Linked DNA regions of Neurospora crassa OR74A. The protein of the gene in region 1 purifies or fractionates together with the protein of each later gene. This does not show direct contact. Links are inferred from orthologs where the notes say so. Each region holds a gene or a part of one and is shown in the gene's direction. Other genes may lie near its edges.

Evidence for each region. The genes of interacting proteins can lie anywhere in the genome.
Region 2: the proteins of NCU06767 (region 1) and NCU02687 purify together in Saccharomyces cerevisiae (co-purification; 7 studies listed by BioGRID, with this or other methods). This does not show direct contact. The link is inferred for Neurospora crassa OR74A from reciprocal best matches to the Saccharomyces cerevisiae genes RFC1 and RFC2.

What each region holds. Positions count from the first base shown.
Region 1 is NC_026502.1:2,004,002-2,008,293, forward strand, and holds the start of NCU06767 (replication factor C subunit 1), read left to right. Parts: upstream 1-1,398; 5' UTR 1,399-1,679; coding exon 1,680-1,785; intron 1,786-1,847; coding exon 1,848-1,893; intron 1,894-1,949; coding exon 1,950-1,991; intron 1,992-2,054; coding exon 2,055-4,292. Other genes in the region: NCU06768 (mitochondrial 54S ribosomal protein YmL47), read right to left, coding at 61-227, 297-438, 523-963. UniProt on the Saccharomyces cerevisiae protein: Component of the ATP-dependent clamp loader RFC complex for the POL30/PCNA homotrimer DNA clamp.
Region 2 is NC_026501.1:3,203,480-3,207,022, reverse strand, and holds NCU02687 (activator 1 41 kDa subunit), read left to right. Parts: upstream 1-1,345; 5' UTR 1,346-1,520; coding exon 1,521-1,633; intron 1,634-1,706; coding exon 1,707-1,785; intron 1,786-1,869; coding exon 1,870-2,841; 3' UTR 2,842-3,042; downstream 3,043-3,543. Other genes in the region: NCU02686 (hypothetical protein), read right to left, coding at 3,108-3,543. UniProt on the Saccharomyces cerevisiae protein: Component of ATP-dependent clamp loader (RFC and RFC-like) complexes for DNA clamps, such as the POL30/PCNA homotrimer and the checkpoint clamp DDC1:MEC3:RAD17 complex.

The sequences.
Region 1 (4,292 bases):
TTGGCCCTTCTGTTGTTCTACATAGTGTTACAATTAGAATAGGCTCAGGGTTCTCCACCTCTACGAAGGAGGAGCAGCAGTGCTTGATGTGCTCGCAGCACTCTGGGTAATCTCTGGCATCAACAACTTCTTCCTTGGGTTCTTGAGGTCCTCCACCGTGAGGCCATCCTCCAACTTGGTGATGCCAACCACTGGTGGGTCACCCTTCTTCACAAACTCGTACAGACCTATGACTTGTCAGTTTTCTACTCTTCTCAACCTCGCAAAGATTTTGGGCCAGCATGTGCTGTTATTACCTGGAAGCTTGTGTCCGGCCAAACGGAAGGCATCACGGATGACCTGTTCGTGCAATTGCCCCCTGATCTCGAAGATAATCTGGTTGACGGCAACTCTGGTCGCCCAGTGGTCGAACGAACCCTTACCCTTACCCATACGCATCTACACCGGAAATGCATGTGAGCCTCATGTCCGCTAACAGTCGGCATCCGGCCTTCCCGGGCTGTGGGTTGTTCAGCTGCTCACCTCGTTACCGCTGACGTACACACCGACGTTACAAGCAACGCGCTTGTACAGGCGGTACTTCTGACCACGCAACCTCTGCTTGATGGTGTCCTCGGCGAGCTTGAGCTGTTGGGCGCTAATTCTGCGGTGGTGATCGCGCATGCGCAGGCCGTAATCTCCCCAAACCACTGTTGTTCCTTTGGTCGAACCACCCGTCGGCACTCTGGGCCTTCCCTTCATCATCTTCTTCTTTCTGTTGAGGTTGGGCTCGAGCCACGAACCAGCCTGGATGGCGGTCGCAGAGAATAGGCGGACATGGGAGGCGACGGAAACGGGGGTCGGCGCAATGGGGCGACGGACGGCAGAGGTTGCGAGCGACGCGGCACGGAAGGGAGTCGCCGACGAGGATATCCTAAGGCCCTGGAAGGCGCTGAGGAGCGCCGAGGAAGCGTTGTGCTTCATTGTGTTGAAGGTTTGGGTGTGGACCGGACCGGGGAGGGGACGAGTGGTGGACGGAGGACGGAGGGAGGGTCCAATTGGATGCCGGTCGCCGACGACGATTGATACGGATTCCCCGAAGCAGCGCGCGCACAGAGACGGGGACCGGGCAGAGCGACTACCTGCAATGGAAGGTGCTGCGGGCGCGGACGGGGCACGGACGGCACTTCCAAAAATTGTGACCCACCAAAAAGTGTCGGGTGCCGGCCGCGACATGGAATCTGCCGGACACAGCAGACAAGCGGGACCTGGGACTCATTCATTGACTCCTCACAAGAAATACAGCTGCGTGGGCGTAGCTCAAGGCAGCAAGTTGGCGAATTCTTGTAGGACAAGGCCCCACCAGTCGCGACAGGGGAGCAGAGCCCGGACACAGACTCGCGTCATCCACTTCACCTTCGCGTCTCACTCATCATTCAATTGTTACTTCCGTCTTTACAAGGGACAAGAGTCGACCCGTTAGCTCTTTACCCTTCTAGGCCTTTTGTTCAACAACACTTGTTAGGCAGAAGGACAGCTGCCTGGACAACTCAGACACCAAGAACAAAAGTCCCTACTTCCCAACTCCGCCACTATAAGAAGATGCTTGCTGGTGTCATCTGATTGTTACATCTTCCCAACCTTTTGACACATTCAATTTATCATTTTGTATCCAGTGATTTCTTCTCACATACTCCATCATGCCTGCCGACATTCGCTCGTTTTTTGGTCCAAAAGGTGGCGCGCCGCCTGCTAAGCCGGCAACACCAGCACCCAAGAAGGAAGAGGAGAAGAAGACCCGGGGTAGTAAGCTTGAACCATGATCGCCATCACAAGCTTATCACGTTATATTAACAATCTTGTCGCAGGGCCAAGAAAGGTTGTTGAGGACAGCGAAGATGACGAGGTTGTTGAGTAAGCTTAGTGAAAAGCATCTCTTCTCAGAACTAGCATCTAACCAGCATGTGTAGAGTCAAAAAGCCAACCAAGGCTGCGCCAAAGAAGAAAGTAGCGTAAGTGTTTATGAAACACCTCTCAGTTCCATGTCATCCTATTCCTGCTGACAGACTATCTAGGGAACCCGTAAAAGGAGTTGAAACCGATGCTGCCAAGTACTTTGCAACCTCAAAAACAAAAACTGCTGCTGCGTCCCAGTCAACACCGAAAAAGACACCCGCAAAACCCGAGCCAGAAGAACCAAAAGTAGCGCTTCGAACAAGCCCGCGGAAGAAAGCCACCCCCGCTGCCAAAGCACCAGAGCCTCCCAAGACTACTACAAAGAAGACCTCGACTACGAAGAAACCCACGACGGCCTACAAGAGTTACGACAAGGATGACGATGGCGATGCCTACATGGATGATGAGCACGATGCTGGAGAGGACATATTTGCGGCGGAATTCAAGGGTGGCAGCAAGAGGAAAAAGGACGACGACTATGCCGAGGAGGACAGTGACGAGGAGCTCCTCCCCAAGCCCAAGCGAATGGCATCTCGCGCCAAAACAGCAGCCGTAGCCGAGTCTGACGACGAAGACGTCAAGCCTGGACCCAGCAAGCCGAACAAGAAATCTACAACTACTACGGCAGGGAAGCGGAAATCCTCGGTTGTTATAAGTGACGAGGAAGACGAAGAGGAAGAAGAAGTCAAGCCAGCGAAGAAGAAGGGAGCCCCCGCTAAGCCCCGTGCGCCAAGGGCAAAGAAGGATGCGGCGGTTGAAGAACCCGAGGACGTCAAGAAGATCCTCGACAATATTCCCACAATTGAAGCACCAGATGCTCCTCCCAAAGACCCCAACGTCAAGTTTGACTGGAAGACCAAGGCCGCCGGAGCTGGCAATGCGGGTCCACCCCCCATGGCGGGCACTGCCGACATTCCTGAAGGTGAAATTGATTGTCTGGCGGGTAAGACCTTTGTGTTCACCGGCCTGCTCAAGACTATCGCGCGTGAGGAAGCCCAAGCACTCGTCAAGCGCTATGGTGGCAAGGTCACAGGAGCGCCATCCAGCAAAACCGATTTCGTCGTTCTCGGCGACGATGCAGGACCCAGCAAGCTGAGGAAGATCAAAGAGCATGGGATCAAGACCATTGATGAGGAGGGCTTGTTTTACCTCATCAGGACGATGCCCGCCGGTGGTGGCACCGGAAAGGGGGCGGAGAAGGCCAAGCAGAAGCGGGAGGAGGAAGAGAAGAAGGTGCGTGAAGAGGCCGAGAGGCTAGATCGCGAAGAGAAGGCTCTGCGACTGGCGGCTGAGAAAGAGGCCAAGAAGGCCGCTGCTGCTCGCGGTGTTTCTGGTCCCGTCCCTGCTGCTCTGCCCCCACCGTCGTCACAGCTCTGGACAACAAAGTATGCCCCCACGGCGATGAACCAGATCTGCGGCAACAAAGCCAACGTGGAGAAGATACAGAACTGGCTTAAAAACTGGCCCAAGTCTAGAAAGTACAACTTCCAAAAGAGAGGCGCCGATGGTTCAGGTGGATACCGTGCTATTATCATCTCCGGTCCTCCTGGTATCGGCAAGACAACTGCGGCGCATCTTGCTGCCAAGATGGAAGGCTACGACGTGATCGAGAGCAACGCCAGTGACACTCGCAGCAAGAAACTCATCGAGAGCGGTGTTAGTGAGGTCATGACCAACACATCTCTTCTAGGTTTCTTTGGTGGAGATGGTAAGCATGCTGATGCCCGCAAGAAGAAGATTGTTCTCGTCATGGACGAGGTCGACGGTATGTCCGCTGGTGATCGCGGAGGTGTCGGTACTATGGCCAAATTCTGCAAGAAGACCGAGGTGCCGCTCATCTTGATTTGCAACGAGCGCAGATTGCCAAAGATGAAGCCTTTCGATCATGTCGCCTTTGACATCAAGTTTCAGCGTCCCACGGTCGACCAGATCCGCTCGCGTATCATGACCATCTGCCACAGAGAAGGTCTCAAGATCCCGCCACCGGTCGTCAATGCTCTCATCGAAGGTAGCGGTAGGGACATTCGGCAGATCATCAACATGATCTCTACAGCGAAGCTGGATCAGACCACCATGGATTTTGATCAAAGCAAGCAAATGAGCAAGGCCTGGGAAAAGCACGTCATCCTCAAGCCTTGGGATATTTGCCAGAAGCTGATCGGCGGTGGCATGTTCGCCCCTTCCAGCACGGCAACTCTGAATGACAAGATCGACCTCTACTTTAACGATCACGAATTCTCCTATCTCATGATCCAGGAGAACTACCTCCGTTCCAGGCCCATGGTCCTGAACCAAAAGGGCTACACTCCAAGGGAACAAAACCTTAAGTACCTCGAACTCGTCGACGAAGCAGCTGA
Region 2 (3,543 bases), on another chromosome or scaffold:
GGCGGGGACCGTGATTGGGCGACGTGAAGAAAAACACTGGCGGACAAGTCGTGCGAAGTGGTCGATGAAGGAATTACTCTGGAGATTAAATGGCCGGGTAGCTGCCGACAAGGTAGTAAGGCCAAGTCTTCGTTATGCGGATGTTTTGTTGGAGGAATGATGAGTGATGGCTTAAGTTGTATTTTCTGTTTCCCATTCAGGTAGCAGTCGGTGGTTGAGGTGAGAAGTAGCGAGCGAGACGACAACACCAAGCTGAGTTCAGGCAAGAAGAGGAAGTGGTAAGGTTGAGTGCGGGGCAGGGCAGAGTTCAAACGAAAGGAACTGAGTGAATAAATCCAAGGCAAGCAAGCGATTGGTGCACTCAGTAATGCACAACGTACTATGTAAACTTGCAAGGTAGAGGTAGGTACTGTTGTGTGTAATTACAACCTTTCCAGCGTTGGTCAAACTTGTATTTGCTTTTTTGTTTTTTGCTTCTCAAAGCAATCAATGACAGTCTATCTCTACTTCGAGGTGGCAACCAAAGAACGAAGGATGAAAGCGTCTCTGACTACTTGTACGTGCCGTGTATATTATACGCTGCCGAAGGTATCCTCGTGCGTGCGTAATCAGCATCGATCAATATCAACGAAAGCAACATGGAGGGTTCCGTTTCCATTCATTCTTTTATTCCACATACCAGTTCAGGTACTTTTTAGTGTGAAGCAGTGTCAATCAGTCACATCCCGACAACTTGGGGCACCTGGTGGTGGGCTGCTACATACCATTTTCAAGGGTAGCCGCCCCGCATTTGCAAGTGCAAGATGCAGGTGGGTTGCAGCAACGAAATGCCAGAAGTGGAATACCGTACGAGACTGGAGCTTACAGTGCGATGCCTTACCACACGACAGGGCATAAACATGGAAGACGGAAGCGGGCAGGGTGATTGATATACCTGTTTGAGCTTTCATATGTCCCAGCGTTGACGACATCGGAGGTCCATGATTCGAACCCCGCATCCATTGTCACTACGTTGTAAAATCAACATGTGTGGTAAAACGGAAATGTATGATTTTCGGGAGAATACAGAAGCAAGTTGGAAAGAGGGAGCCCTGGATCCCCGGCTGCCCGGCTCCCCGGTCCCGTCTCCGTGTCCAGGGCAGTCCGCCTTGTTGTTGGACGTGGAGAAGCTCCAGGCACCGACGGGACAAAACCCAACATTCGGAGCTCTACCCAGGTAGCGGACGGCCCCGGGTGGGAGGGGGCTAGGAGCTAGGGTCTTGCGAGATCCACTTTAATTGAAGCGGCTCCACAAAAGGAAACGCGCCAGACGCGGTCTCTCTTCCTGTGATCGCGTAAAGTGCTGCTTGGAGTTCTACTTTACTATCACCATTCTATTACGAGCTCCCCTCAACAATAGATTGTTGCGACACCTTGATTGACGACAGCGAGACGCTCACCCAGTACCCACGTTCTCTCTTTTCTTGACATTCAGGAAAACGTACCCTTCGCAACTTTGCTGGCCAAGATCTATTCCTATCATGGCAAGCTTTTTCGACATTAAGGCCAGGAAGGCGGCCGCTGCAAATGGCACTCCAAACCCGGAAAAACAGACAAAGGAAACTCCCAGGGCGCAACCATGGGTAGAGAAATAGTATGTCATGCAAGGGTGGTCAAGTTCAATGCCGGCAGTTCAACCAGCTAACCTCTGACGACTTCCTCGACAGCCGTCCAAAGACCCTCAGTGATGTCACAGCCCAAGATCACACCATTACCGTCCTCCAAAGAACATTACAGGCTTCCAACGTTTGTCAAACCTGCTTATTTCCCCTTCGTGTCTCTCTCAAGTCAAATTTGGACAGCCACTGACCTGTGTCGTCAACCCTCCAGCTCCCACACATGCTCTTCTACGGCCCTCCAGGAACGGGCAAGACCTCGACCATCCTTGCTCTCGCCAAGGAGCTCTACGGCCCCGAACTCATCAAGTCCCGCGTCCTAGAGCTCAACGCCTCCGATGAGCGTGGTATCTCCATCGTCCGCGAAAAGGTCAAAGACTTTGCTCGCATGCAGCTTACCAATCCCTCCGCGGCTTACAAGGCGCGCTACCCATGTCCGCCCTTCAAGCTTATCATCCTCGACGAGGCCGACAGCATGACGCAAGACGCCCAGAGCGCACTGCGCCGCACTATGGAGACGTATTCGAAGATCACCCGCTTCTGTCTTATATGTAACTACGTCACTCGCATTATCGATCCGTTGGCGAGTCGTTGCAGCAAGTTTCGGTTCAAGAGCCTCGACCAGGGGAACGCCAAGAAGAGGCTGGAGGAGATTGCTCAGCTCGAGGGTGTCGGGCTAGAAGAGGGAGCTGTCGATGCGCTGATCAAGTGCAGCGAGGGCGATTTGAGAAAGGCGATTACGTATTTGCAGAGTGCGGCAAGGCTAGTTGGTGCCGTGGCAGCCACAGCTAAAGACGGGGAGCAAAAAGAAACCGAAGGCGACGACGAGATGGAAGTGGACGCCAAATTGGTTACGGTCAAGGTCGTGGAGGATATCGCTGGTGTTATCCCGGACGATACCATTCAGAGGTTACTCGAAGCGATGCGGCCCCGCGCTGGGGTGGATACGTACCCTGCGGTTGCCAAGGTGGTCGAGGAAATGGTGGCGGATGGTTGGAGCGCTGGGCAGACCATGACGCAGCTCTACCAGGCGGTGGTTTTCGACGAGATGATCCCGGATGTGCAGAAGAACAAGATTGTTATGGTGTTCTCGGAGGTGGATAAGAGGCTGGTGGACGGCGCAGACGAACATCTGTCCGTACTCGACCTGGCGCTACGGATATCGGGTATCATGGCTGGGAGGTAACGGCCAAAGCTTAAAGAGTCTGAAAGGGTACGACAGAAGCAGATGGTTCAAAGATAGGCGACATATCACTGGGTTCGGAGTTTCGGTTTGGGCAACAGAAAATGGCAGGTCATTTACATCGCACTACAAGGTCATATTTTGGTGTTTCTAGTCCTAGACTTCTTTCTTGACAAATGCTTGACAATGGTCTTTTATCCCTGGCACCTCGCCCACCAGTTGTGTTCCGAGGTGTCTCCCGTCGCAACACACGATAGTTATGGCTGCCTCTACCCAGACTTCTCTAGTCCTACATGCACATCCACCATATTCCACATGCTCAAGCTCCCTCCCTCACGGTGACCAATTGTCTCCTTCCCCTTCCTGCCTCCCTCATCGTATCTCGTCCCAAGTCCCGATCCACCAGTTGCATTTGTGATTTTCAGCGATTTCTGCCCTTCGACAAGCCATATGTCAGATTCCTCGCCCACCTCATCATCATCGCCATCATTATCATCATCATTACCCTCCTCCTCTCCGCAAGCCGCTTTAACCGGCTGCTGTCGTTGCTGCTGCTGCTGCTGCTGCAACCCACGTCCCAACAACCGATCAGCCTCGCCTAGCATGCGAATTGCTCCCTCCAGCGCTATCTGCCCTTTCTCAATTTTCTCCACTACCACCTCAAAAGTTGCGATCTTGGCCGAGTCGGCAGCTGATACCCACGGG